Linked DNA regions of Notamacropus eugenii. The protein of the gene in region 1 interacts with the protein of each later gene in a biochemical or structural test. Links are inferred from orthologs where the notes say so. Each region holds a gene or a part of one and is shown on either strand. Other genes may lie near its edges. The genes, in order: LRP1, PLAT, THBS1 and APBB1.

The links.
Region 2: the proteins of LRP1 (region 1) and PLAT form a complex in vitro, tested with the Homo sapiens proteins (2 studies listed by BioGRID). The link is inferred for Notamacropus eugenii from reciprocal best matches to the Homo sapiens genes LRP1 and PLAT.
Region 3: the proteins of LRP1 (region 1) and THBS1 form a complex in vitro, tested with the Homo sapiens proteins (3 studies listed by BioGRID). The link is inferred for Notamacropus eugenii from reciprocal best matches to the Homo sapiens genes LRP1 and THBS1.
Region 4: the proteins of LRP1 (region 1) and APBB1 form a complex in vitro, tested with the Homo sapiens proteins (2 studies listed by BioGRID and IntAct, with this or other methods). The link is inferred for Notamacropus eugenii from reciprocal best matches to the Homo sapiens genes LRP1 and APBB1.

What each region holds. Positions count from the first base shown.
Region 1 is NC_092874.1:232,525,094-232,532,666, forward strand, and holds the start of LRP1 (prolow-density lipoprotein receptor-related protein 1), read left to right. Parts: upstream 1-4,339; 5' UTR 4,340-4,763; coding exon 4,764-4,896; intron 4,897-7,573. UniProt on the Homo sapiens protein: Endocytic receptor involved in endocytosis and in phagocytosis of apoptotic cells. Required for early embryonic development. Involved in cellular lipid homeostasis.
Region 2 is NC_092872.1:618,371,878-618,379,430, reverse strand, and holds the start of PLAT (tissue-type plasminogen activator), read right to left. Parts: upstream 3,265-7,553; 5' UTR 3,076-3,264; intron 1-3,075. UniProt on the Homo sapiens protein: Converts the abundant, but inactive, zymogen plasminogen to plasmin by hydrolyzing a single Arg-Val bond in plasminogen.
Region 3 is NC_092878.1:25,267,624-25,275,747, forward strand, and holds the start of THBS1 (thrombospondin-1), read left to right. Parts: upstream 1-4,674; 5' UTR 4,675-4,948; intron 4,949-5,671; 5' UTR 5,672-5,702; coding exon 5,703-5,769; intron 5,770-6,193; coding exon 6,194-6,753; intron 6,754-7,416; coding exon 7,417-7,492; intron 7,493-7,791; coding exon 7,792-7,988; intron 7,989-8,089; coding exon 8,090-8,124. UniProt on the Homo sapiens protein: Adhesive glycoprotein that mediates cell-to-cell and cell-to-matrix interactions.
Region 4 is NC_092876.1:89,154,652-89,162,024, forward strand, and holds the start of APBB1 (amyloid beta precursor protein binding family B member 1), read left to right. Parts: upstream 1-3,924; 5' UTR 3,925-4,016; intron 4,017-7,373. UniProt on the Homo sapiens protein: Transcription coregulator that can have both coactivator and corepressor functions. Adapter protein that forms a transcriptionally active complex with the gamma-secretase-derived amyloid precursor protein (APP) intracellular domain.

The DNA.
Region 1 (7,573 bases):
TTCCTTTTATATTTTGGCAATTCATCCCAGTTGCTTAGCTAGCTTAGATAGTCCTTAAGGGACTATCTTCTGGTACCTTTTGGAGGGGACTCCCACCACTCAACTTTGACTAAGACTTTACCATGTCTCTTTCAATTTCTGTTTCCAGGCAACAGACTCTCAATTTCTTGTCCAAGATTTCTCAGATTCCTCAATCCTGCAGACTCAACAAGACTAACCTGCAATAGGCTCCCTATTTCTTGCCCAGAGTTTCTCAGACCCCTCAAGAGTTTCTCAGACCCCTCAATCTTACAGACTCAATAGGACTAGTTCTTCCTGTGTTGCCCTATTCGACCACCCTGGGTTTCAAAATCAAAAAGGCTCACCTGGGTCTGTGCACAGACTTACGTGATCAACTGATCCCGAGAGTGTTTCTCATCCCCCTTTCGATCACTTTCTGCTCTCAGCTTCAGTCTTCTTTCAGATCCTTTCCCACCAGAGGAGGGTCACTCCCAAACCTGACTGAGGGCCTCCTACTAAACTTCGGTGGGACCTTCTGCCAGTAGGTCTGGGTTAGAAGGACCCCCTCCTCCTTTGAGGGTATCCCGGACGAGCTCCCAAAACTGTATGGGACAGAGATCACCACCACAATAAAGATCGGAGTCTGAATTGGAGATCAGAGAAGGTCTTTATTCTTTCTCACGAGAAAAGGCACAGCCCTTGTCACTCAATCAGTGGTAGCCAGGGAGTGTGCTCACTGGTGGAGGGAAGCAGATTTTTATAGCCCTAACACAAGTTCCCTATCCCCACTCCTTATCCGCTTCCCCACTGGCAGAGTACTAGGGATGTACAATCTCATCACAACAGCTACTTTCCAATAGAAACAATTATGCCCATATTTAGTGGGGCAAAGCATATGTATACCAGGAAGCAGGGAGAGTCACCACGTGGATTTTGAGGAGGCTATTGAGACTTACGATGGCATGCAGAAACTGAACAAAAGGAGAAAGTCCTTCTAGTCCCCAACCAAGGAAACTCCCACACTATGTCAATATAGGAGGTTAAAAAAAAAAGAGAAAGCAGACAAAGGCAACTAGCTTTCTAGATCAGAATCATGGAAGAAAGGTGGTAGACAGTACACCACAGAGAGAGCCAAGAGAGAAATATTCTGGATAAACAATGCTAAGCTCAATTTTTAAAAGTGCTTTGATTCTTCTCAGTTTCAAAGGTTCAGAAAAGAGTCAATCTCCTCAAATGCTCCTATAGGAATTCTATAGTGGTCCCCATTGGGTGTACAAGACCTTGCTCTCCTGGAGTTTGATGGGGGAAGAGGTTCATAGAATCATATTATATGAGAAGTAGACAGGTCCTCAAAGGTCATCTAGTCCAATCCTGAAGCAAAGATGCTGTATTCATCTTCAACAGGCAGTCAACCAGCTTCTGTTTAAATATAGTTCCATGCAGGCAGGTAGGAAAGCAACAAAAATTTATCAAGCACACAAATAAAACATTATTTGCCAGGTACTGTGCTAAGTGATAAACATACATATACAAGTAAAAAGAAAGATATTCCCTGCCCTCAAGGAGCTTATGGGACCAACACATAAAAGGGAACTTGAAAGTGGAAGAGGGGGAAAGAAAAGAAGGTATGAGAACACTGGAGTCCAGAGAAGAATAAAGCACTTAGCTTTAGGATCCATCTGGGACCTTCCCCAAAATGAAGGCCCAGGAAGGAAACATACCAGGAGGAGAAGAAAGCCATCATGGCATAGGGAAGTTCTGGAGTGAGAAGGTAACCCAAGAACGGGAACAAAATCAGGACAATTAGAAGCACAATCAGGAGGGGAAATTTTAAACTTCTACTAAATGCAAAGTATAGTTGGACATACTGAACCTACAAAGACGAAAATGAAAGTTCCCATCATCAAGGAGCTGGAAGTATATGACATATTCACAGATAGAAAGAAGGAAGAAACAAATGTTTCCTCAGATAGAAAGTGAAAGGACAAAAAATAGCTCCAAGCATGTAAAGATTGTTAGAAAAAGAAGAAGGAGCACTAATGGCTTAAGGAAGATCTGGGAAGGCTTCATGGAGAAAACAGGAACTGAGCCTTAAAGGAGGATAAGGAAAGGCAGAGCTAAGGAAAGACTGAATTTCAGCCCTCGGGGGATGACCTGAGGGAGTGCAGAGGCAGCAGATACCCTTCAAAATCTGAGGAACAGCTAACTGTCCCAGAACTTCAATAATGTGCATAAAAGAGGATAGAGATGTCCCTTTTCATATATTATCTTCTCTTTTTGTTCTTGTAATTTGTACATGAAAATGTTTGTTTGTTCATTACTAAGTTCCTAATTTTGAAAAGAATTTAAAAAAAAAAAAAGGTTGGTGGGCTAGGTTAGAGTCTAATTGTGCACATCCTTAAATACTACCAGACCTTAGTAAAAAAAAACAAATTCAATCTCATCACACTGCGTGACTCTGGGCTAGTGATTTCACCTGTCTACCTCAGTCTCCTCAATTTTAAATTGGCCATAATACTAGCAAATTCTTCTTAAGGTTGTTGTAAAGATCAAACGAAATATGTGTAAGGTGATTAGCACATAGTCACCTGGCCCTTAATAAAATATTTATTTCCTTCCTGTATATTTTAACCTAGAAGTAACAGGGAGCCACTTAAGGTTTTAAGCATGTGTCTTTATGTTGGCATCTGTGAGAAGGATGGACCGGGGAGATGAGACATTTCTAGACTAGGAAACAACGCCATTAATCAATCTATTCTGCTTTTTGGTTATTTCTAACAGTTGGAAAAATTTTCCCCATATCCGACTGCCACTCATTGGTCCTAACTCTTCCCTTTGTATCTGCTGTGCTTTCTTTGCTCAAACATCCAACAACTGGCTTCATAGTTTCAACATCTGGCAGGGCATTCCTCACTCTTTTTCTGGAGGCTCTTCATTACCACTCGACCCTCTCCATAATGTAAGGCGAAAAGACAGACCAGAAGGGGGCAATGGCGAGACGCACATTCCCAAAAGCCCGGAGCTCGAGGGACGTCTATTGCAAAAGACTCGGAACCTGGGACCACGGCTGGGCACTCAGGGATGGAAATCCAGTAAACCTAGAAATCCCAGACCGATCCTCAGAATCTCCCCCCCTCCCACTTGCCAATTACAAACCTTTTTTCTTGTGAATCTAGAACCCAGAGAGTTAGAGCTCTGGTCCCTAGCTTTCATTTCCGAAGTCACCTGGGAGGTGGGAAAAGCCCCAAACACAGACATTTTCAAAACAAAAACAACCACAACAAATGCCTCTGACCTCCCCGGGGGAGGCGGGGGCGCTGCCCGCCCCACCCATCCAGTGACTCACTCCCTTCCAAACAGCTCGCCCCCAAACCTGCCCTGCGCCAAGGAAAGGAGGGGTGGGTGGGCTAAGGGGGACGGGGGCGGGGAGGGACGGGCACTAAGGTGGGCTCTAGTCCTTAACCCAAGGCGAAAGTACAAGTTCAGTCGAGTCCCGGCAAATGTCCCTGTTTACTGGGAAGCCGAGAGCTAGGGAGGTGGGGCGGGGCCTGGGCGGTTCCGGCCCGCCCCCTTTGCCCCGAGAGCCAATCCCCTTCCACTTTTCCCAGAGCCTCCAAATCAATGCTCAACTTCTCCCAGTGCCTTCCCCACTGACTGGCATCTCTTCCCCAGCTCTCTACGGGCCAGGGATTGGGGGGGAGGGAGGGGGGGCGGCGTGTGTATGTGGAAGGGGGGGTTGGAAGAGGAGGACAGGGATAGGGTCAAGCTTACAGAAGGGTACAGGCCCAAGTCCAGAGAGGAGAATCTAGAACCCAGGACGGGGCTGAAATCCTGTAGCCCCACACCCTGCCCATCTATCCCCTCAGCTCTGGAAGACGCAGACGGGAGGTGATGGAGGGGAGGGGGGAGTGACGGCGATCTTAGAGCGAAGTTGGATGTGGGGAAAGAGCGAAGGGGTTTGTAGTCGGGTTCGAATCCCGGCTCTGTGATCAGTTTGATCATTGACAAGTCACAGAAATGTCCGGGCCTCAGTTTCCCCATCCGTAAAGTGACCGAGCTGGAGTGAATGTCCCTTCTAGCTTCAATCCTATGATTCTGTGTCTTGGCCCGCGGGTCCATGGCACCGCCTCTCTGGAACCGCTTTCCAAGCCCCTCGGCCCTGCCACTCCTCCTTCTCCCCCTCTTCTGGAGGGTGAGGGCGAGAACGGCGCGCATGCGCACCAGGACATTTGCCGCGTAGCTAGCTCTCCCCCTCTTTTTTCTCCCCGCCCCTTCCCCCTCCCCGCCCCCTCCCTCTGCTCCCTACCTCCCACTCCCCCCTTCCCTCCCCCCGCCCCCCCCCGCGCCACCTCCATCCCGGGAGCACAGGCGCGAGCTCAGGGCCCTTGCACTGAGGAGGAAAAGAGGGGAACCCTCCAGCTCTTCTAAAGCTGCGAAGGACCCCCCTTCCTAGGCTCCCCCACCCCGTCCACGCCCCCCCATCCCCCCCCGCCTCCTCCCAATTGTGCATTTTTGCAGCCGGAGGCGGCTCCGAGATGGGGCTCTGAGCTAAGCCCTAGGCGAGGGGAGAGCCAAGAGAAGAGGAGGGAGGGGGGACCTCGAGGTGTTCGATTTGGGGGCGCATCCTCCCCGCCAGCCAGCTCCAGCAGAGGGGCCCTTAACTATTGCCTTCTCACTACCCCCCTCCTCCGATCCCAGAGCTCGCTGGGCTTTGCGGAAAGAAAAGACAAAAATAAAGGCGGGGAGGAAAACGGGGGACCCCCATGAAGGGGGGCACAGTCAAGAAGGAGCCCGATTGCGGAGGAGGGGGCTGTTTGCACCGGCCCCGCACCACCATGCTGAGCCCGCTGCTGCTGCTGCCGCTGGCTTTGGCTCTGGCCACAGCGGCGATGGATGGTGAGTGAGAGTCCCCCCACCCTCCCCCCTCCCCCGAGGACGCCCCCTCCCCAGTCCCCACCTCTTACTGCAGAAAGGGGAGGGAGTCGCGGAGTGGGGGGGCCTTTTGTTATCCGGGTCCAGCTGACACAGCAGCGCCCCGGCTGGGGGCTGGGAGCAGGGGTCTGGGTTGGCTGGGGGTGGGGAGCCTGGGTGGAAGATGCTTCCCGGACCCCCCCAGTTCAGACAAAGACTGGCTTGGGGGGCAGACCCGGCGCCCGCTTAGTGCCACCGAAGATGAAGCGAGGCCTATGCTGTCTCTATTTCTAGCGGAGGACGTGTCCCGGCCCCCCCCCCCCCATCCCTATCTGAATTGTGAAGGAATCTGGATTTGCATTAAACATCTGCAAAGGGGGGGGGGAGAACTGCTCGGGCGGGGGTCTGCAGTGCGTTTCTAATGCGTAGAGGGAGAAAGCCAAAGGGGGAAGTGCTTTTCCTTGGTGCCCACATTGGGCAGAGGTGTGAGGAGAGGAAGAGGACTTGTGTACTAAAAGATGGACTGGGCCCTGGAGCAGGGGTGGAGGGAATGGGTTCTAGAAGGACTGGGTTCTAGCCTAGGCCTCCAGGGTTCCACATCTTTCTTTCTACACTCCCCCTTTTGTGGGCCTCTATCTGTAGCCGGGGTTGAGTGGAGCTGTATGGGGATAGAGGTGGGAGGGGTGGGGGGTTATTACGTTACTTCGAGTTTCTCTTCTTAATTTCTGGAGGTTTGGGATGAAACGTCAGACGTCATCAGTGAGGAGAGGGGCTGGGAGTCGGGTTTGGATCACTGAGGTGGGGGCACGGAATGCTTTTCTGGTACCTTCACACTTTGGACTAGGAGAGTTTAGGGATGGGAGGAAGGGGGAGTATGCCGCTGCTGTTTTCTGTTCTGCAACTTAAGTGAATTTGTTTTTAATTTCTCCCCCCCTCCCCCTTCTCCCTTTGCATAATGCAGACATCAGCTCTAGCCGGAACTCTATGTGCTTTAGGGAACTGGGGGTGGCCTCTTGTTCCCTCTCCTTTCCTCCCTTTTGGCAACTTTTCCTATTTAACCCTGAGTCATGGGTTCAAGTCTTGTCTTAAGTCAAGAATAGGGACGGATAGGTTGGGGGTTGGGCTGGGCAGAACTGAGCCCCACTGATTGAGTGTATGTGGGGTGTCTCACCACCCTTTTCCCCCAGGGGGCTCCATACTCTGCCCACAGCAAGAAATGACCCTCCCTCCTCAGGCCCACCACACCTCCACCCCCACTTCCAATCTCCAAAACTTTGCCAAGTTTGGGGTTGGGAAAGTTTTTCTCAGAAATCCAACTGCCCTGTCCCCCTCCCCCTGACCTCAATGGGAATCAAAGACCCTCTTACTTTGGTTAAGAGTGAGGCAGGAGAGGAGAGGAGAAGTTTGGGGAGCAGGGAACCCACATAGAGAGGGGGAATATTCAATGCCCCCTTCCTCAATTATACCATCCTTCAGAACTCTCCTTCTTTGGGCTAGGAGGAAAACAAAAACAGAAATTGCCCAGTTTAGAAGAAGGGAGAATCTCTGCCCTCATCTCTTTCCAAAGCAGCCTATATCTGCCTGCTGTACCCCCCAAATAATTATATTTAACTTTTTTTCCTTCAATGAGGAGGTTTGAATGCTGGGAAGCTGAGGCAGAGGGAATTGGGACACCTGGTTCTGGGAAAGATTAGGAAGAATCAGAAAAGTCAAGACAAGAAGAGGAAAACAATTTGGTTGGGGGTGTTAAGAGGCTGGAGGGGCCACTATGGGGAACACAAAACATCCTGAGATGTGTTCAGGGGCCCAGCTGGAGTTTCACAATGGGATGAGAAAGTGACACAGCTGTTCTGTGTTCAAGGGCTCTAATGCTGGCTTTGGCTACCCGCTCTGGAGCGTTGGGGGGGGGGGGGGGGGGAGAGGAGGTATGTGTTACAGAGACGTTCAACTCTGATCGAAGTTTAGAAACTGTTCTCCCTGACCATTCCTTTTCTCCAATACTGCCCCCTCCTCAAATTCCATTATCTCAGACTGTGCCCAAAAGAATGAGATGAGAGAAGCAGTTGTAATATGGAAGGAGAGGTGAACGAAGTATGATGAAGTCAGCTATGTAACTATGGGCAAATTATTTCACTTTTTCAGACCTCAGTTTCCTCACTTGTAAAATAGTGATAATAACACTTGCACTATCTACCTCACAGGGCTCTTGGGGAAAAAGTGGTTTGTAAACTCTGAAGTGATATATAAATTCACATTGTTATTAGGGGGAAAACTTTTGGATTGTCACCTTAAAAGTCCATGTTGTTTTGGCTCTGTGCCTCAGTTTTCCTCCTTAGACACTTCTTGACATGAGGGTTAGGAGGAGGTTCTCCTCCTCTCTGAATCAACAGAGTAGCTGAGGGAAATGTTGATTGGAGTTCCTCCTCCACCACCCTGTGTTTATTCTATACTGTACCCCATCTCTACCTTCCCCACATTATCTCCCTCTTCTCCTTGTCCACCCCCAGCCCTGAGCCCAGACCATAACTCATCAAGAGCTGTCTTCTAGTACTCCTACCTCCACCTCACGCCTATGTCAAACTGGGGCAGGGAATCGCCATCCCGAACGTACATGTGCCCCTCACTTTTGGGAAATTTTCTTTCATATCTAAACATCTTCTCA
Region 2 (7,553 bases), on another chromosome or scaffold:
CACACATATCAAGTTAAACCTTCCTCTCTACAGCTTTTGCCCATTGATCCTAGCTAGGTCTGCCCTCTGGGAGCAAACATAGCAAATGGAATTACTCTTCCACAGAATAGTCTTCCAGTACTGGAAGATGGCTATCATATACCCCCTTCAGCCTTCTCTCTTCCAGGTAAAACATCTCCACTTCCTTCAGTCAGTCTTTTTACAGCACGATCTCAAGGTTCTTTGCCATCCTGGTTGGCTACCTAAAATGTCTAGAACTAAATGCAACACCTCGAGTATGGTCTTACTAAGGTGGCATATGGCAGGACTCATCACATCCCTAGTTCTGCATCTCTTAGTTTGACCCCAGATTATACAAGTTTTGTTTTTTTTTAATGCCCATTGCACTAAAAATGCACGCTTGCTACCACTTATTTACTTTTTTCCCTATATAACCCTATTGACTCATACAGAGCTTTACATTCCACTAAAATCCTCAGATTTTATTCAAACAAATTGCTGCCTAGTCATGACACCCTTATTTTGTCCTTGTAGACTTAATTTTCTAAACCTGACTCATCCCAATTAAATGTAATTTTGTTAGATTTGGCCCAATGTTCTAGTGCTTAGCACAGTTCACAGTAGGCACTTAATAAATGTTTATTGACTAATGACTGACTAAACTGCTCTAGCTTCTACAGAGTTTTCTAATGCTTTCCAAGTCTTGTGCTCTTTGAAAATTTCATAAACTTGTTAAGCTTCATTGAAGTCACTGATAAAAATGTGGATCAGCACAGGACCAAGTACTGATCTTGAGGAATAATAACGGAAAGAACATAAGCTTTGCAGTCAGGCAAACTGGGTTCAAATCCTGGCTAGGATATTTACAACCTAGATGACCTTGGACAAGTCACCTATCCATTCTGAGCAGGCTAGAAACTGAAAGCCTTCAGGTAGGGGAAGGGGCCAGATACATTTTTTGGTGGTTGAGGAGAGCAGGCTGGCATTTGGCAGCACGCACCTATTATCAATGAGTGTACCCCAGGGCTTTGTCCTGTGCTTTTTCTCTCTCTACACTCTCTGTCTTGGTGATCACAACATTATCTGTGGATGCAAAGATCATCTCTGTACAGATGACTTCCAAATTTACATATCCAGCCCTCATCACTCTCTCCTGAGTTCCAATATTTCATCAACAACTGTTTGCTGTACATTTCAACCTGATGTTTAATAAATACATTGAATCTAATTATAGAATTAATCTCTTTCTTCAGTTTTCCCCCAGATGTTTGGCCTCATGTAGACTTGACTTTAGCTGATCGTACTTAAACACCAGATGAGAGAGCTGATAGCACTATTATAATCTGCTCAACTAATCAACATTCATTTACTCAGTAAGGCTCCTCTGACCAACAGGAATTTACAAGGTGGTGAGTCAGACTTCCTAAAGTTCTGCAGTGCCTGGCCGTGTCTATGTTTCATGCTCTCGAAGCTGCATCTCTCTATCTCAGATGATACTGCACCACGTCCCAGAGGAGCACAGATCACTTCCACCAAGGCCAGACTTACAAAAGAGAAATTATCTCGAGTATCGAGAGAAACTGGCTCCAGGCATTTGGAGATAAACTGAAATGGCCTAGGGGAGACAGGACTAAGAAGGAGCAGTGTGGGCTAAAGAAAGCTACTATTTGCTTGGGTTAAATTTCTGAGACTCTAAAGCTGGAATCTTTGAAAAGGAAGGCTAGCCCACACCGAAGGGAGGAAAGGTGCTATTTATAATTCAATAGCCAAGGTGTCCTGACTAATGCACCAATAGGAAGCATTTTTTTTAAGCTAAGTGTTCACATATTGATTCAAGACCTTCCAAATGTCTAGATCCTCAGATGCCCCCAAATATCCATGGGAATGGGAGAGTATTCTTCACTGGGTTGAAAATATAAAAAACTATTAGCAGACTATTTCCTTTTCTCCTGTTCCTCTTTTTTTGTTTTTTTTTTCTTTGGAAGAGAATGAATGAAAGACCACATTAGTGGCTTGAGCTGTTATCAAGTAGTCAGGAGACCTCAGCTGGCAGTCCAGATCTACCACCAAGTTAACTGTTTGACCTTAGAACCACTTGAACCACTGTTCTCCTTCATGCTGTTCGCCACCAGTGGTCTGAGGACTGAGGTATGTTTGCCTCCTTTCCTCCTTGGGAGGTTAAGAAAATGAAAGATTACAGGAGTGAAAATCTAGAGAGGCTTATAGGCTTCCAGGGGGTAAGTGCTATATGATTAAAGGCTATTCAGCTTATTTTTTTTTCCACAATTAGAGAGAGAAATCCTTAAAGTACCCTGTCTATCATCATCCAGGTAAGAAAGTTGGAGACAAAAAGGAGGGAACATGAGGAGGAAATCTGGGGAACGAGCCCAGAGGTCTTTGTGTGTACAGATCACTTCTCCTGCCCACCCCTCCACTCCCAACCCCCTCACTCCCCTACCTAGCACACCTCAGCAGGAAACTCCAATCATGCAAAAGAGATGTTCACCTTCCCCCTTTACCTTCCAATTCCTTCTGCTAATTAGGAGACACCCAGCCAGTATCAGGCAGGTAAACTGGCATCATGTTAATGTCCCGGAGGAAGATGACTTCAGGTTCATTAGTCATCAAGTGTTTGCACATCATTTTTGCAAACTGCTTTTCACTTTTTCCTGACTCTGCATATCAGAGGCTTCTTCTCCAAGGGTTATACCTATTAAACTCTCCTACCCATGCCACAGAACTACTGGAAAGTTGTGGACTGGCTTTGTGCTTCTTTCTTCTTTCATCCCTTCTTTCTTCTTTTCTCTCTTTATCTCCCTTCCTTCCTTCCTTCCTAATGTAAACAGCACTCTCTATTACCCCTACTATGGCCCCAACACTGCATTAAGTAAGCCCCAGGGCAAATGGTGAGAGCTGTATGAAAGAGGTCCCACTTCAGCCTCCTTCTATCCACAGTGCAAAGCTAATACTAACTTTCAGAAATCCCTTTATTGTTGGGGTTTCCTCGGGATGCCTAGCAAAGGGAAAAGAGGAGCCCAGCTAACAGACAGTGGATATGTAATACATAAGACCTACCTCTCCTGGTCTCCTGTACCTCTCCAAGGACTTTCTGCCAAGTTCCAGGCTCGTGGCTGAATCTCAGCTCTGAGTTCCCTGAACAGCTCCCGGCTCCTTTAAATTCCAGTGACAGAGGTGGGGTCTGTTGCATGGAGTGGGCGTGTTTCTCCCCTCTAGGAGAATGCCCAGTGGAGAGGCTGGAGAGATGGAGGCAAGCTGGGGCGGGCCTGCTTTTATTGCTAAGGAGGGGGAGGAAGTATGAGATAGCCAACCTAGCCTGCTCTGTCTGGCCTTGGGCCAGTCTGTATTATTCACTGGGTTTGATTTTGTAAAGACACACTTGGATTTCTAAGTAAGTATATAAATAAACAAGTGCTGGGAAGTTTCTTTGTCCAGACCTGGGGTCCCACTGCAGTTACCTGGCCTCCACTGACATGTGGTGGAGGGTTGGACAGGTTTAGGCCCACCAATTCAAGGATAGGATAGCAAGCAAGGCCAGATGGAGCCAAGGGATGAGACCACCGAGAGGAGGGGCAGGCAATGGTCAGATGACAACTGGGAAATGTTGTCCTGCCATAGAGTCATAGACTGGAGGGGACCTTAGAGGTCATCTAGCCCAATCATCTTATTTGGCAGAGGAGGAAACTGATGTCCAGAGGCAGGAAATTACTTGCCCAAGGTTACTCAGAGGGCAGGACCACCCAAGCCTAGTGTTCTTTCCATTACACCACACTGCCAGTCACCTACGACTAAAGCAAGGTCCCCACCCCAAAGTGTCTCCCACCATCTGTCATAGTGCCTAAAATGCCACCCTTTGAGTTATTCTATTTGTTCTTGGCGGCTTTTCAATTTTCCAGAATTTCACATTAAAAATGTGAATACCTCTGGGATTAGGTTATCTGGTTATCAGCCAATACCCTAAAGGGGCCTGTACCAGTACTGGAAAGAGACCATAGTTGTGGGCTCAGGGAGAGGAACCCTGAAAAGAGACATAGGAGAGATAAAAGGATAAAAAAAAATTGTCAACGGCAGACTTCTTTGCCCATTTGGCAAGATCTGCTTGTAAAGAGCCATCATGAAAAGGGGGCACCTTGGAATAGAAGGTGTTTAGCAAGCTGGAGCAGCCATCCGAAGTGAGCTATGATGAGCTTTTCACAGGAGAGAATATTATCTATTAAGTGACTTAACAATTAGCATTTCAGCAATTAGAAGAACTGACCTTCAAGGTCCTTCACAATCTGACCCTTGACCATCATTTTAGCTTTATTTGATAACTCCCCTCCACACCTCTACACTCCAGACAAATTGACCTATTCTCTAATAGCTTCCAGACAAGGTTCATGGTTTTCCCTATGCTCAGAATGCCTTCCCCTCCCCTTCTTCAGTTGCTGAAGATCTACCTATCTTACCAGAACCCAACTTAAATGCACCATGAAGCTAGCAACAACTTTCTGTCTGAGACTCCTCATAGCACCTTATCTTATACTATCATGTTATTTAGAGTATTATGATTGACTCTACAAATCTATAAGTTTGATGAAGGCAGGGACTACATCTCATCTAAAGCTTGTATCTCCCCCTCCAGGGCCTAGCACCGTGCTCACACTCGTAAGTTGTTCATTAAATGTTTGTGCAATTGAATTTACCAGATGCTGCTCATGCAGATCTCCGAGCAGCTCTGTTGGCTAAATCAGGAAAGGGAATTACTCACATTCCAATGAATATGAGATGGTTTTCCCTACCCCCAGCAGAATTCCAGGAGCACTTTAGAATAATACTGAATTATTAGCTACTGGATTAATAGAAATGAATCCTGCTTTTAATTGTGACAAAGAAGGAGAGACGAGAAGAAAAAAATGAAAATTAAGCCTAATTCAATCACAGTCTATGGGAATTTCACTTTTAAAAAACCTTTTTGTGTGTGTGTTATTGCTTACTAGCGAAATTACAGATCTTTTTTAAAAAATTTTTTTTGGGGAATGACAGAGTATGTGGGAGGAAAGCAAAAGTACACAGAAAAGAGGTTAAAAATGATAGGAACCAGGTGTCTACTCTATATGTGATTTGCAGGATGTCGACATAGCCCCTTCCTGGCCTCTGTGACCTTGAAAACAAATCCCCAGTGAGAAAGAATGATTTTTCCAGAGTCAGACAATACATATTTCAAATAATCAAGGATAATTTTATGAACAAGACCAAATAGAATCCTAAGGAGTGCTGGGACAAAGGATAGCTGGCAAGGAAGTGCTCTCTCAAGAGTTCCCAAGTTTGGCACTGTTTCTGTGGTTCCATGACCTTCCTCTCCACAGGTCCCATGAGTCATAGTCTCAGAGCAACATCGTGGGGAACAACTAACAGTGATGGGCCCCAATTATCAATTAAATAGGCAACAGGACATGGCATTAGAAAGGAGAACTAAAATCAGACCCTAATCATCCGAAAAAGAAATGACATCATGTCTACTGCAACCTGAAGGAGAGAAGTGGGTAAACCAAGGGGGCTGAGACAAGGTGGCTTAAGACAGAAAAGGAAGAGGGAAAAGAGCGTTTGACTTCAAAGTTTATGGAGTATATTCTGGTAGTCAATGGTGTTGAGGGGAATGGATCTTTATGGTTCTGAAATCTCCTTAGTATCTTTCTAGCATGGATTTTCCTAAATCTTTATCCAGACCAGTGACAAACAAGGAAGAGGGATCATATTAGATCCTTGAAAACAAAATTAAGACCAATAAGTAGAAGTTACAGTAGGCAGATTTAGACTTCATAAGAAGGAAAACTTTTTAATGATTAGAGTTGTCCAGAAGTGGCAGAATAGGCAGTGTTAAAGGTAGTGAGTTCCTCATCAGTGAAGGTTTTCCAATGGAAGCTGGATGGCCACTTTGTTAGCAAGGATCCTCTCATGAACTTATTTATATTTTCAATATGCACGTCTGCTTCAAGGTGTCAAATCCCCTAAGGCTACTATCTACTGTGTAAAATAATATTGCTTTCTATCTTCCCACCTCTGCTTTTTCCATTCCATTCTTTCCATCCCTGCCAGGTTAATACTTTTCTGATCAGGTTACTCCTGTGTTTAAAACCATTCACGGAACATGATGCTATAGAAAGTACATTAGACTTGGAGTTAGGGAGACCTGGGTTTCATTATTACCTCTGACATTTACTAGTAGCATGTCCATGATCAAATTATTTAAACTTTCTTAACTCTGTGTCTTCATCTTATAAACAGGAGTAATAATACTTCTGATACCTACCTCATAAGATTGGGGGATAACACGTAGGAGGCACTTTGCAAACCTTAAATATAAGTGTCAGGAATTACTATTGTCTACAAATAAAGTTCAAGTCCCTTAATCCCTTTAGGGACTACCATGAGCTGGCACCATCTTTCCCTTTCCTGGTTTATTTCAATCTGCTCTCCTTTAAGTACCTTATTCAGGATTGTGCTGGTAAATGCTTGACAACTGGTTCTCAAAAAAATGTATACAGGGCACACTTTGGGGGTGGGGTAAGTGGGGTTAAGTGACTTGCCCAGGGTTACAAAATTAGTAACTGTCAAGTGTCTGAGGTTGGATTTGAACTCAGGTCCTCCTGACTCCAAAGCTGGTGCTTTCTCCACTATGCTACCTAGCTGTAGCAGGACATACTTTCAAATTTAATTTGTATTATTAACATTTTCTTTATCACTTTCTTAAGTCTATTAAATCAATAAAACGAAATCAAGACTTGGTTTGTAGTGATTTCTAAGGTATTAATCTCACTTTGATATTTTAATAATAATATAATAATAAGATCTAGCACACTCCTGTCTTTGATACAGATGAAACAGGTTGCTCACCATCTTCTGTACACACACCATGCTGTGCCTGCTCTGTGTCTTTGCTCATACCCTCCCAGCTCCTGGAAAATTCTTCCTTCATCTTTGTCTGTTGCAATCCTACCTGTACTTTGAATCCCTGCTCAAATGCTTCCTCCTCTAAGAATACTTCTCTGATTCTACCAGATGGAAATTCCTCCTTCTACCTCAGATGTCATAAACTATTTTGTTATTGTCTTGTGCACTCATCATATATTACACTGATTTTATCTTGTCCTGCAACTCTTCTGAAGTTATTATTCCAATTAGTTTTCTGTTGACTCTCTAGTTCTCTAAGAAAATCATATCATCTGCAAAAAAAAAATAACTTTCTTTCTCTGTCTATATTTAATCCCTAAATTTCTTTTCCTTGTCTTACTGCTATAGTTAGCATTTCTAGTATTGTGTTAAATAGTAGCGGTGATATGGGTCTCCTTGCTTTACTGGAAAGACCTATAATTTTTTCTACCAAATATAATGTTTGCTTTTGGATTTAGATTAAAAACTATTAACACTTAATAAATTAAGGAAAGGTATGTCCACTCCTATAATTTCTAGAATTTTTAATAGAAATGAGTGTTAGATTTTGTCAAATCCTTTCCCAGAATTACTTATGTAATCACATAGATTTTATTACATGT
Region 3 (8,124 bases), on another chromosome or scaffold:
CCAGGGTGGCACAGCTAGTAATTGTCTGGGGTTAGATTTGAACTCAGATGAATCTTCTTGACTCTAGGTCCAGTACTCTATCACGGGGCCACTGAGTTGCCCACAGAGAGTGTAAAAAAGCAACCAAATGTATATTCAAGTCCCCTTAGTGTAAATCCTGGCAAAGCTAGGATTCACACACAGGCCAAGAGACTTAAAGTTTAGTGCTCTTTTCCCTCTATTATGCTGTGAGGCACAGGTATTAATATCCTCATTTTTACAGACATAAAAACGATCTTGGAAAGTTTAAAGTGATTTATCCAAGGTCACCTATAGGTAGCGAATTGCAGATTCAGACTTGGGTCGATAGAAGGCAACACAAAGCCAGCAGCTTCGTGTGTGGCACAGACTCCAGGGGAATGTCTGAAAGAGGGGAGATGAGCTTCAGTCTGAAGTCATGAGGAAAGCAGCATATGGAAAGCTTCATGAGGAAAGCAGCTTTAATCAATTCTTATTCACTGACCAACTTGAATTGGGCCTTGAAGAATGAGTAAGACACAGAAAAACCTGGCTCTCAGTCTGAGCCGGTCGGGCTGAACCATTAAGTAGGAAGAAGGAAGTAGCAATAGTCAACAGAGGAATGAATTCACTAGACTACTATTTCTTAGAGGCTGTGGTTTTTGCATAATTATGGCACACAAAAATTCTGGTTGATGATCACTTCGAAGAATTTTTGAAGAGTGAAAATCTCAGGCATTTAAAAAATCCTTAACAAAACCTCGGAATGTTTGGGCATTTGGGGAATTAAAAATATACATATTTTTAACTTCAGTATCTTGCCATCCTAACTCACATGCAAATTTAAAACTAACTTTAACTGACAGTCCTTTTTCCTTCCTTTCTTTACTGGCAGCAGAGTTCTTATGTCAACTCCACCTCCAAATAGGGAAACTTAAAAAAAGAAACTTCATGATGAAAATGTCATTTACTTTGTAATTCTGTTAGTTGTGGGTTATGCTAAGTAATAACTTAGGGCCATGACAGCCCAGAAAAAGCCTGATCCTTTCTTTTGCTGGAAGGGCCCCTCATTCGTGTTCATTTCAATTCATTTGCCTGACAGGCCAAAACCTCACAGAGGATACAGTGAATTGTTTCCCAAGAGTAACATACACCAGATTCTCACTTCTTTTTTCACTACTGTTTGTCCAAAACTGTATATGGGGTTTCTGGGAAATACTCAATGGCCTTGGGCGAACAAGAATTTGGGGGAGCTCCTGGCATCAGTATACAACCCTCTGGTTTTTCTCTTCCATTGAAATAAAAAAATCATTAACTATTGACGAGATGTTTGGGGCTTGAAATAATACAACTAAGATGATGTAATCCAACCCCCTCATTTTACAGAGCACTAGAAAGGTTAGGTGTTTTACTCTAAATCCTATAGGTAGTAAGAGATAGAGGTGAGGTTGAAATTCACTCGCTTTTGGAATCTTTTGACTCTAAACCAAATACTTTTTCAGCTACACAACACTCATTCTTTGTGAAACATTTAGAGGATATAAATTATTACCTTGATTTTGCTATGGACACTGAGAGCTAAGAAAAGTCGCATGACACCTTTAAGTCATTATAGTTAAATATAACTGCTATCTACTATCTATCTAGATGTAAAGGATTTTCCCAGAGTCATGCAAGTAGTAAGTAGGGAGCTTGAGGGCTGAACCAAATGGATATTTAAGTTTCCTAGTAAAAATCTAGACAGAGTCAGGATAGATAGATTAGAGAGATAGATAGATAGATAGATAGATAGATAGATAGATAGATAGATAGATAGAGATAGATAATCTTATTTATGTCAGCCTTAAAGTTTGTATTTTGAAAACTAGGACATGAAATAACTCTTCCAAGAGACCTTTTATATAAATTGAAGTTGGAAGTTCAATGTCAACAATATGAGGAATTCATTTAGAGAGTTATAAGAACAACTTGACAGAAATTATACTATATTAACATACTAATATATGATATATATGTGTGTGTGTATGTATAGTCTATAGGATGTTATGTGTGTGTGTATCCTTGAGGACACATAAATGTAACAAAATATTCTCCAGAATGTGTGTGTATATGTATATATATAAAATATTCTCTAGGAAATATATCAATATATGTATATAGATAGACATATACATACACACATATATAATCTCCTGAGAATTTTTTTTAACTTGGACTACTTGGGGATTGCCAATTCCCATCCCCAAGCCAATTTCTTAAGGCAAGGGTGAGGAAGATTTAGTGGACAGCAGGGGGATACTTGTAAAGTCCTCCTCCAGTGTTATAGAATTACCATCGGAAGATGCTATGGATCAGGGGCAAGTCACTAGCTAACCATCCCTACAACCTAAAATCATCTTTCCTCAAAATCAGGTGTCATGAGGTATTAGAAGCCAGTCACCAAAAAGTGGCCTGAGTAGTCTGCTTTAGTTTCCAAAGAAAGAAATGAAGTTCCACACAAGTCTCAGGACTGTTCAGGTGAATTCTTATTCAACTGCCATTAGGGGTATCCTAGCCCATTCAGAATCTCATATTTTAGCTTCTGAAAATCTGAAACCCATCGGGCCAGCAAGTTCAGTTAACGATTCAGACAACCACACAAATGTGTTGCCGACATTTGTTGTCTCTCGGACTGGTGTTTGTTCTCCAAATTGTGTAACTGGAGAGCCATCAGTCCAGCTTGCCTCAGAACCCTCCTACTCAGGAAAGTGAAATCTGCGCTGTGATTAATGTGAAAAATGGATACTTCCAGCAGTTACTAATTTGACCTGGTGTCAATGAGGAGGCGGCAGAGATGGAGGCCCTGGATTTGTACTGCCCTGTTTTTCAGATCCTTATTTGGTGAAGGCTGGCTTACCTGTGTCTGTGTGTATGTTGGAGCCAGAACAGTTAACAACGTTTCGGCTCCGGGGCCCAATGACAGCCCGGAGAAGGGAGAGGCAGCAAAGGAGCGACTCCTGCCCCCTTCGCCGCCGCTGCTGACGTCCCAGCCAAAAGAGATGAATGGGATTCCAAACCACTGGAGTCATGCTGGCTTGGGACAGTTTCTTGGAGACCAGTCTCCATCCGAAAGAGACGTGAGGCAACAACAATGCTAACGACCGATCGTGGTCCCACAAAAATGTCACAACGCACGCCCACTTACGGGAGCCCAAGAATGAAAGGAGCTAGTAAAAGAGCAGGCAGGGGGAAAAAAGCCATCGATCACCTGGTGGATCTGGGCTAAACTCCCGAAGCCAGGTAGCTCTGCGAATTATCCACCCAGGAGTCACGTTTTAAAAGCACGAGTAGGCAAAAGAAACTGTTTTTCCAGGATTCAACTTAATTTTGGTTTCCAGAGACGGGGGGAGGTAGGATGGAGCGGGGGAAGAAGGAGAAGTGAAAGTTTGGTTCAAGATTCCTGGCTAGAAAGAGAAAAAGTCCTCCTGCGGTTCCCTAATAAGAGTGCGCTTACCGCCCCCAAGTGGAAACTGATCAAAGTGCTGTCTCAGGCTATTGGGGGGGGGGGGGGAAGGAGGGGGTCGGGGACACAAAGTCAAGTCCGCAGCAGCCCAGGCTCAGGGGAGAGTGGAGAGGAACCGCTCCCCGAACTAGCAGGGAAATGGGAAGGGAAGCTCAGGGAGTCAAGGCTCAGCTCCCACCCCAGGGGAAGACCCTCAGCATGGCGCGCCACTGAACACCTTTAACTACAAATGAAAGGTGTAGGTGCTGAGAGAATTGGGGTTCAGCCAGGCCGAATCACCATGCAGGGAGATCGCAACCTGAACGCTAAGAACGAGTGTCCCAGAAAGTCCCGTTATCCGTTCTTTCCCAACTGGCCCAAGCCACCTACAGTACTGAGACTACTGGGATAGTCTCAGTGTCCTTGTCCCCTCCTTGCCTCCTCACCTCCTTCTTCCCCTTCCTCATGAAGCAGTGTGGTGCGGTGCAGGGGGTCCTGGTTTTGAAGTCAAAAGGCCTGGGTTCATATTTTGACTACCACTTACTACTTCTTTGACTGGACGAGCCACCTCCCTTCTTTGTATCTGAGGGGCAAGGGCTCGAGGGACTTGGACTCGATGGTTTTCAAGATTCCTTACAATCCTAAATCTATGATCCCTTAACCCCAATCCCCTTTAGATTTCAGCGTTCTGTCACAAAGCCAGCCGCACCTAGGGACACTCTTGGCAGGGTGTCAGACAAGGGAGATCCAGTCCTGGATCCCCCGCGTATACGAGGCAAGTTATAATGCGTGTCTTGTATACTGTAGGCGCTTATTAAAGGTTTGTGGAACTGAATCGATTTGAATTGGAGATTCTGTGAGCCAAGGGGAACCGAGAACACAATAGAGAGTTATTATGTGCTCTCCAGAGAAGTTAGCGTGGTTCCCTCCTCCCCAGACACCCCGGGCTTCACTTTCTAGCTGGAAAGGGGTGAGCCTGCCCGCCCCCGGCGCGGGAGCCCGGGGAGGAGAAGAGGGGGAAGAAGGAGGGGGGAGTGGGCCGCCGGGGGAGGGGGGGGGGGAGAGAGGACGGGGAGGAGGGGGGGGCCAACCCACTCAGACTCTCCCCCGCCCCCTTCCTGCCCGGACGCTTCCGATTGGCTAGCTGGAGTCCTCAGGAATGTGCGCGACCCTTTAAAGGAGCACGACTCATCCGCTTCTGCAGTCACTGCACCGGACCGGGGGAAGCTAAGTAGCTGAAGCTGACCCTGAGGAGCTCTCCCTGTCCCGACCGCCTCATCTCCGCAGCCCCTCTGCCTCCGGGAGCCTCCTTTGGACCGCTGGAGGATCTCCCACAGCCTGGACCTGCTCTTGCTTCCCAGGACTTAGGCGCACCAGCTGCGCTTGGAAGATAACCAAAGGACTGTGCGCTCCCTGGCCCCATCCCTGTAGCGGAGGATCGTTAGAGTCCCGGCTCCTTAATCCACACAGGTAAGATCGTAGCCGCCTTCCTCCTCTGTTGGGACCCTGGGCACCCAGCTCTGTTCCTTCTGAGGATTTCTCAGCAAACTAAAATTTCACCAGTATGCTCCCACCCACCACTTTGAGGGGAAAAAGAAACACCTCAAGAACTCATCCCATTCATCAGAAACTGCCCCCAAGATTATTCAATTCATTCCCCCCTTCCCCATGGCCTTTCTTCCTCGGGTCCCTGGGAGTGCATCCCAGACACCTCTGAGAAACTCAAGGGCAACCTCAGGAGACAATGGGACTCAGAACCCCAACTCCACAAGGAAGTCGCAATATTTCACGGACGTCCAAAACATACTCAAAAGTGGGGTCTCTTCAGTCGTTTGACAGTCATCCAGGCTATACAGCTTCTCTCTCAAAGTGATGTCTCCCTCTCTGTGTGTTTATCTCAGGGATCCATTATCCCAAAGTTTTTTCCAAAAAAAGTTCCCAGGGTTTTAGTGTTTCCCCTACAGGCCTCGGAACACTTCTGTCCCATTCCATAACGTTTTTTTTTTTTTGGACTGGACAGTCTAGAACTTCTCCCTCAAGCAAGTTTTGGGAGTACAGGGAAATCTGTACATCCCACAACCACAACCCCCACACCAGCGACCTTAGCTATTTCCCCTTCTCTTATGTCTGCTTCCCTCTGGGAGGTCTTCAGAGTTTCGCTGTCCGACTCTGACTGTGCTCTCTCTGCTACAGGCTTTGGATACTAGGCACAAACAGCTCCATCATGGGGCTGGTTCGGGGGCTGGTCTTCTTACTGCTTCTGGAAATGTGTGGCACCAACAGGATCTCAGGTGAGCCTTTGCCACAGCCGGCAGGGGGAGGTTAAGAGGGTGAAATTGGGAGGGGTTGAATTCTAGGCCATTTTAGGCAATGCTTTTGTAGGGTTCCTAGGTACTCTAGGTCTGCCTGGAAAAAAATATTGAAAAGAAAAAATGCAGGTACTGGAAGGCAAGAATGAGAACTCTGAATATTGAATATCCAGATTAAACATAGCTACACAGCAGAGGGTATACTCAACCCCTCTCAAGGTTGAGTGTTTTCTGGAGTGGGAGCCCTGATGTCTGAGATGCTTGTGTACTCTTCTGCCAGGATTTCATCCTGTGTCTTTTGCTGTTTAGTTCACTAAGGCTACAGTAGGGCAACTGAGAGCCTGGCACTCTTAAGTCTAGCACACCCTATTTACCACTAACTGCATATTCTGCTCCTGTTCCATAGAGTCTGGGAGTGACAACAGTGTGTTTGACCTCTTTGATCTCCCTGGTGCTGCCAACAAGGGCTCTGGGCGCCGTCTGGTGAAAGGTCCTGATACCTCCAGCCCTGCTTTCCGAATCGAGGATGCCAATCGAATTCCCCCTATGCCAGATAACAAGTTCCAAGACTTGGTGGATGCAATCCGAGCAGAAAAGGGCTTTATCTTCCTGGCCTCCCTGAGGCAGATGAAAAAGACCCGGGGCACTCTGATGACCGTGGAGTACAAGAATCACTCTGGCCATATCTTCAGTCTAGTTTCCAATGGCAAAGCAGGCACTCTGGACCTGAGCATGTCAGTGCAGGGGAAGCAACAAGTGGTATCAGTGGAAGAAGCTCTCTTGGCCACCGGCCAATGGAAGAATATCATCCTGTTTGTTCAGGAGGACCGGGCCCAGTTGTATGTAGATTGTGAAAAGATGGAGAATGCTGAACTGGATGCCCCCATTGAAAGCATCTTCACCAGGGACCTGGCTGGCAGTGCCAGACTCCGTGTGGCAAAGGGAGATGTCAATGATAATTTTCAGGTGAGATTTCTTTTCCTAATCTAAAGAGAATTTTCCAACTGTCTAACACTGCCAAGAGAATTGTTGAGACCACCTGTAGGTTATTGCCAAGTGGGGGATGATTTTTAAATATAGTATTCTTATGCAGTTATCTATCTTATTTGCCCAGCCTCTTGAATCTCTTTATGTTTCTCCCCATTGAGATAAGAAGAGGCCTGTTACACATAGATCTGACATGCATTTTAAAGTGGGACGTTTGTAACAACATAAATAACTTGACCCTATTCTCCCCTAATAAAGCAACTCTCAAGCTCAGATACAGTGTTGAGTTAGAAGGAATGGTTTTACATGGCTTGTTCCTCCACAACGATTAACCCTTTGGCACATTGGCCTGCACCATTACCTGCCTTGCTTCATAGCATCTCTGGTATTCACCATAAGATTTTAACTCCTGAATGCCTAAATGGGCTGAATTCTCTGAAAGATCCTAAAGATGAGGCAGTTGTTGAAATGCAGGCAGAGGGCACTGGGATTTATGTTGACAATTTATCCACCATGTTAATATTGAAAATGATTATTTTGTCCATAAGATGATTTAATTTGCAACGCTGTAAATTTGAACTTTTGGGGTGATGAGTGAACATTTCTTGTTTGCACTAATTATCGTTCTGCCTCTGCCACCAGGGGGTGCTGCAAAATGTGAGGTTTGTCTTCGGAACCACCCCAGAAGATATCCTAAGGAACAAAGGCTGTTCAAGCTGTAAGTTTGCTGCTTTTTTTCGCTGGGAGACAGGAAGGGAAGAGGGCAAAAAAGTTAAAAATAGAAATAGCCACAATAAAAATCACTTAGAGCAGGTGAGATAGGTTTGGAATGGGAGCTGCGCATAAGCTGCTCATACCACATTCCTCTTTTACATCTTGGAAAGATATGAAAATAACCTATAGGCAATATTCATCCTGACAAAATTGTACCTTGGTAAGTTAGAACTGTAGAGACTGGCACATATCGCCATTTGGAGATGCCCTGTAATTTCTTGCCTTTCCTTTATTTCTTGGTAGCCACCAATCAAATTATCACACTTGACAACCCAGTAAACGGTTCCAGCCCTGCCATTCGAACTAACTACATTGGCCACAAGACCAAGGACCTGCAGGCAATCTGTGGCTTCTCCTGTGATGAACTGGCCAACATGTTCCTGGAGCTTAAGGGACTGCGGACCATAGTGACCACATTGCAAGACAGTGTCCGCAAGGTGGTAAGTGACAGCAGTCACTGAAGGAGGTACTTCCGTGAGGCCCCTAGGAGATGTTTCTGAACAGCTGATGCTAATAATGTTTGTTTTTCAATCTCTCTTAGACTGAAGAAAATGAACTACTGTCAAATGTAGTGAA
Region 4 (7,373 bases), on another chromosome or scaffold:
AAAGCTCCAGTAGCTAGAAGAAACAGGAAAAGCCTAATGTAGAAGCTGGTATTTGGGCATAAATTTGAAGGAAAATAGAAATTCTAAGAAGTGGAAGTGAGGAAGGAATAAGCCAATCTATGCAAAGACAAGGAAATGGGATAGGGAATGTCAAGTGTGAAGAACAGCAGAGAGGCCAGTTTGGCTGGATCATAGATTGCGTGGAGGAAAGTAATATGTGATGAAACTTGAAAGATAAGTTGGAGTCAGGTTAAGAAAGACTTTAAATGACAAAGGAGTTTTTGTTTTATCCTAAGGGCAATAAAGGAAGCGAGGGAAAGGGAGAGAGAGAGAGAGAGAGATAAAGATATATCTATAAATTACCTAAAATGTGCCAAGTACTGTACTAAGTACAACAGAGTTCATTGAGTAGTATAGTGACTTGCTCAGTCTTGTGCTTTAAGAAAATCACTTTGGCAGCTGTATGGAGAATGCACTGGAGAGGGGAGAGACTTCTGGATGGAAGACCAATGTTGTAATAGTCTAAGTGAGAGGTGATGAAGGCCTGAACTGGAATGGTGGCTATATGAACAGAGAAGGCAAGTGAATACAAATACTGGTGTACCTATAGAATCCACAAGCCTTGGAAACTGGTAGAAAAAGTGTGGAGGAGACTGGGGAGTTGAGGATGACTCTAAAATTATGAATTTGGATGACTGGAAGAATGATGGCACCCTTAACAGAAACAGGAAGGTTGAGATGAGATGCAGCTTTCCAAAATTCTTGACAATATAACACAGAACCATAGAATATCAGAGCTGGCAAGGATATAAGAGAGCAGTTAAGCCCACATTTTATAGATAGTGAAACTGAGGCCTAAACAGTGGAAAAGATTTCTCCATGGCCACACCGCTGTAGAAGGCCCTTATATCTAATGTCCAGTATTCTTTTAACTTCAATCACCCTCAAACTTGCTTTTGAAAAAGATTTCTCCCTCAAAAAAATCATCCCCAGAAGACACTTTCCTATTTCACTTTCCTATTTGCCTTTCCTTGGCTCTCCTTTCCATACCTGAACATAGTCTTGTTCCCTCTATAGACTCCATAGTAACAGTCATATTAGCACCCTTCTTTCCTAGTAGTGAAGGACAGAGGATAGTGGAAGGAGGACCAGATACAAGTCTCATCCTCTTTCCTAACCTGCTCAGCTCTGGCTAGAGAACTAAGAATGTTCATTGCAATTGTGTTAAAAAAAATTCTTCTTGCCTGAAAGGGAAAAGGACTTATTTGTACAAAAATATTTAGGGCAGCTCTTTTTGTGGTGGCAAAGGACTGGAGATTGAAGGGATGCCCATCAGTTGGGAAATGACTGAACAGACTGTGGTTAATTGATTGGGGTGAAACTACTCTTGTGCTATAAGAAATGCCCATGGGAATGGTTTCAGAAAAACCTGTGAAGATTTATACGAACTGAGGCAGAGTGAAGTGAGCAGAATCAGGAGAACATTGTATACAGTAATAACAATATTATAATGGTGATCAACTGTCAAAGACTTAGCTACTCTGATCAAGACTGATCCAAGACAATCCAAAGGATCCATGAGGAAAAATGCTATCCACCTCCAGAAAGAGAACTAATAAACTCTGAGTGCAGATTCAAGCATACTTTTTTCAATTTATTCTTGTGTGTGTACGCATGCATGTGCACATGTGTTTTCTTTTGCAACATGATTAATGTAGAAATATGCTTTGCATTACTTCATATGTAAAAAAAAAATTTTTCATGCCTGGTATCCACATAACTTGCTGTGCACTCCCTCCTCCAGACCATTAAAAAATTCACCAGTCCCTGAGGAGTCTAGGTTCTTGGCACTCTGTCACTTATCTAAGTGCCAACTTAACTCTAGTACTCTCAATTTCATTCCATTAAAATTAACAAACATTGTTTTAAGCACCTAATATATGTTTGATGCTGGGGATACAAAGATAGCTGTGACAAAGACCCTTTCAGTGACAGTATCTGGACAGTGCTTAGCATATCGCCTGGCACATAGTAGGCAATTAATAAATGTTTATTCCCCTCCCCTTTCTTTACTCTTCTCTTCTTTCATAGGATCATAGATGAAGAGTTGGAAGAGACTTCAGAGGCATCTTGTCCAGCCCCTTCATTTTATAGGACTGAGGCCCAGAGAATTTAAGTCATTTACCCTAAGTCACACAGATTTGAAAGGCAGACAGGATTTGAAAAGTCCTCTGTCTCCAAAGTCAGGGCTGTTTCCATTCTATAGACCCTACTCTGAAGGACCTTACAGATGTAGTGGGGTGAAGGATAAATGTACATATAACTTAGTGATAACAGAGATAAAGTGATATGTGTAAAAAAGCTATCCAGGCAAAGTATTATGAGAAACTTAAGGAGAGAGAGAGATTATTGTATATTCTGGCGTGGGAGTGAGAATCAAAGAATGTTTCATGAAGGAGATTTCATGAATTGAGACTCAAAGAAAGGGGTTGACTTTAATAGACGGAGCTGGGGAAACAGTCCCTTCCAGGAAAAAACACTGAGATGGGAGAGAGGAGGGAGGGAGAGAGAGAGAGAGAGAGAGAGAGAGAGAGAGAGAGAGAGAGAGAGAGAAAGAGAGAGAGAAAGAAAGTACTCCAGTTGGGCTGTACCACAGGTTATGTGAATTGGAGTAGTATGACATAAGACCTGGAAAAGCAGGTTGGAGTTACACTGCAGAGAAACTTGAACATCAGGTTAAGGTGGTTGTACTGTATAGTATAGGCTATGGTGGGGGGTGGGGGGGAGGCCAGGAACTCAAAAGCTAAAAAGAAAAGGAATAGGAAGATTATTTTAGCACTTTTGTGAAGGTTATGTTAGAGAGAAGAGTGAGTGGAAAACCAGTTAGGAAACTACCACAGTAGACCAGTCTAGAGATAATGAGGGCCTGAACAGAATTTGAGAGGTAACCTAGTCTAATCCACATACCAAAAGAATACCTTATTATAACATACTCAATATGTTGTCTTCCAATCTCTGTATAAAGACCTCCCCAGGAATGAGAATTCACTGCCTTTCTAGACAGCCCACTCCACTTTGGGTCAGCTCTAACTGGTAGGAAGTTTTCTTGGTATCAGACCTAAAGTGGCTTCTTCTTAACTTCAGCCCATTGCTTCTGGTTCTAACCTCTGGGGCCAGACAGGAAGTTCAATCCCTCCTCCATGTGAATGTTGGAAGAGAACCATCATATCCCATCTGACACACAAATAAAAGGAATCACCATCACTCAACAAATGATAAAATGAAGACTTATAGAAAGTATTACATGGATAAGAGGTAGCTAGATAGCATAAGTAGATACAGTACTGGACTTGGAGTCAGCAATACCTGAATTCAAATTTGGCTTTAACTACTTACTAGCTATGTGACCTTGGGCAAGTAGTCACTTAAATCTCTGTTAACCTCAGGCTTTTCATCTGTAAAATAGGGATAATATCTTCACTTCTCAAAGTTTTGTGAGGATAAAATGAAATAATGTTTGTAAAGTACTTTGCAAACCTTAAAGTGCTATATAAATTTTAGCTTTCATTATAATTACAACAGTACAAATTATTCATTACAATAGTTCCTATTCAAACAAGCTATTGATAATGAAAAATAGGAAATGGATAAAGATAAGTATTATGATAATGCTGCAAAGAGGTGAGCCCAGGAAATAGGAATCATATCTTAATTTGGGGAATTACATTCCCTGAAAGCCTGTGTGCTAGATGAGCAGCTCTAGTAAGTCTGGTTTTAAACAGTTAATAGGAATCTTATGGATGAAGCAACTGGAAACCAAGACAAGAACGACCAACCAGAAATGTGGATCAGTGAGACCTGACACAGTGGCAAGAATGGAAGCCACTAAGGGACTAAGAGAGAGTCAAGTACTCTAATGAGAAGTATGCTTGTGGGGTGACCTGATTGTACTCGTCAATACTGACTTTCAGGCAGTATCACCCTCCAACTGTGCTGAGGAGACTGGAGGGTTAATTGTGAGTATGATTATTGATCCCTTAAGTAATACTTGTGGAAGAATGGGGATCACAGCCATTTAGCAATGACTGCTGGGGAGTTTAATATCTGATTTAATTCCACATTATCGCTATTTCATTAAGTGCTTTGACTTTGAATTTGCAGTCGTAAGATTTGATTTAGTTAAAAAAACAAAACAAACAAACATCAGTGGGGCTTTTTTAGTTTTAGGATTAAATAGACTATAACCTTAACAAGGCTTGTAATGATTAGAGAAAGCATATCATAGGCCTGGGGAATGGGTGGAAGGAAGTGGAGAAGGGGCCACACTATAGAAAAAGATCCCAGGGATTTGAATATATGCGAGATGATCTCCTATGGGTTTGGGATGCTGTAGCATTATAAGGATAAATTAAAGATTTTTCTTTTTGTAATTCTCTTCCTCCCTTCCTACCATGCTGTGAACAGACAGCAACGTTTTTTTGATGTGACTTTTCTAAGCCAAACCATTGATTTAAAATAATTATATTGCCATATTGAAGTTGCTATTTGCTGGAGGGATATCATTGAATTGTTATTGTTGGAAGAAATTAGGTTTAGACCAATGCATTACACCATATACTATAATAAGCTCAAAATGGATATGTGACATGAATATTAAAGATTGCAACACATGCAAAAAAGAAGAGAATGAGATCAGATACCTTTTATAGCTATAACTGGGGAACAGCTCTTAATTAAATAAAAAGATCAAATCGATACTTTTGATTATATGAAGTTGAATAGTTTTTTATGAGCAAAATCAGTACAACTAGGATAAAGATGGAGACTGTCAACTGAGGAAAAATCTTTGCATCAAATATCTGACAAAGGTCTGCAATGCATATGCATATATATATGTCTCTCTATATATATTCACACACACAGAATATATACAGACTAATACATAAGGTTAAGAGTCATTCCTCAATGGCTATATAATCAAAGAATTTGAACAATTTTCAGGAGAACTGCAAAATATCAGCAACCATATAATAGATTGCTCTGAATCACCAGTCATAATTAAAATGCAAATAAATCAAAACAACTGAGGCTCTATCCAGAGTTGCTGGATTTACAATGAGCAAATTTGCCAATATGATAAAAAAAAATGTGAATGTCCAATGTTAGAAGGATGAAGGAAAGACAAGTACATTGATATACTGTTGGAGCTGTGAATTGGTTCAACCACTCCGGAAAGCATTTGGGAAATAAAAATAATGATGATGATGATGATGATAAATAGCTAACATTTCTATAGCATTTACTATATGCCAGGTACTGTGCTAAGTGCTTTACAATTATCTCATTTGAGATATTATTATCTCCATATTATTATTATTATCTCACAATATTATTATCTCCATTTTACAAATAAGGAAACTAAGGCCAACAGAGGTTAAGTGACTTGCCCAGGGCCACACAGTTAGTTAAGTGTCTGGGGCTTCCTGAACTTAGGTCTTCCTAACTCCAGGTCCAGTGCTCTATCCACTGCACCATCTAGCTGCTCTAACTAGGGGCAATTATGCAAGGGAACAAAAAGTGACTAGAATGTCCTTTGACCCAGAGATCCTCTGCTAGGCATAAACCCTAAGGAGGTCAAGTATTGAAAGAAAGTACCACATAAACCGAAATATTCAGAGCAACATTTCTTTTTTTTTTTTTTTGGTGATAGCAAAGGACTAGAACAAAACGGATGGCCATAAATTAAGGAATGGCTAAACATATTGTGGTACATAAATGTCATGGAATACTAAGCTAAAAGAAATAATAATAATATGAAAAATTCAGAAAAGCATTAGAAAATATCAATTGATGTAGAGTGAAATAAGAAGATCTAGGAAGACAATATGCCAATGAATATAAACATGGAAATAATTGTATAATGTGCCTTTCCTATCAGGACACTGGGTTAAATAATTGGCTAATTGGTTTATTGGAAAAGTGATGTATGATAATAGCTCTGGACCTTGAATGGAGACTGTTGGTTCAAGGAATTCCTCCTTAACTGTGATGATAATACAAATGATGCGGCTTTACACATGCAATATGTAGTTACTTGGGAGGAATCTCAGGGAAAACTCAATATGTGACAAAGGAGCTGTAGCAGCATTATAGAAACTGCTTGATATTGTCAATCATGCCAGTTTCCCAAAAGATGTAACTGTGATGGGACTGTTCAGAAATTACTATTAAATTTATTTACTGCTGTCCAGGAGCTGATGATTATTTAAAGCTTTCCTGGTAAGAGACCAAGAGAGACTATGAGCGAATACGAGAGAATGACTGGCAAAAGCAATACCATCCTCAGTTGTTCATGATTCCAAGGCATCCCCTTCCCCAACAGTCAACTAGCATTTCTTAAACAGTTACCGTGTGTCAGGCATTGTCCTGTCCACACTTTTACCAGGAACTTCCATCTTTGGTTTACTGTATTCAGAAGATGACTGATGATGAAGCGTATGTTACATGCAATCTGTATGTAGTCTTAATGTTTGATACTCTATGCCACATGTAGTTCTATATGTTGTATTTCTGCATGTAAATTATATGACTAGACCATCCTATATAATTCTAAAATGTATGTTTCATACTATGTACCCACATATAGCCTGTATATTTGGGATGATTACCTGTGACTGTGTTATTTACCAATTAATTAATACTTATGCTATATACTCAGATGTATCCATGTATCTAGTGCGATTTTTTGAGGGGAAAAGAATGTAGAGGGTTCAACCCATGGGACAGATGCCTTGCTTTATTTTTGGGAACCATATCTCCCAGAAGCCTGTGTGCAAGCTGAGTGGCTTTTAGCAAGCCCCATTTTTAATGGAAGATATAAAAGGCTGGGTAGAAAAAGAGTGGATTAACTTGAGATCAGGCCAAGACGCAGTCAGTGACTGGAGACTAGGAACAGAGCCACCAAAGGTTTGGCTAGCAGCGAGTGACTAACATTCAAGGGAGGTATGACTTGAGACTTGGCCAGGAAGAGTAAAACTAAAAACCCAGAGTAATGTAGCTGGAAACCAGGGAGGTCAGAGAGAGAGGATTTGAAGAGAAATATTTATATTTTGGGGGGGTCAAGGGAAGGCTTCTTAGAAGAGGTGGCACATGAGAATCTATATAGGCAAAATGAAAACTAAATGAATTAATGAATGAATGAATCAACCAACAAATATTTAAATACATACACATGTACACACACACACACACACAAGTTAAATACGTAGTTTGGGAGAAAGGACACTAGGAGTTGGGGGATCAGGAAAGACTATATTTAGAAGACGTGCCTAATCTGCATCTTAAAGGAAGAAAGAAATTCTGTGAGACAGAGA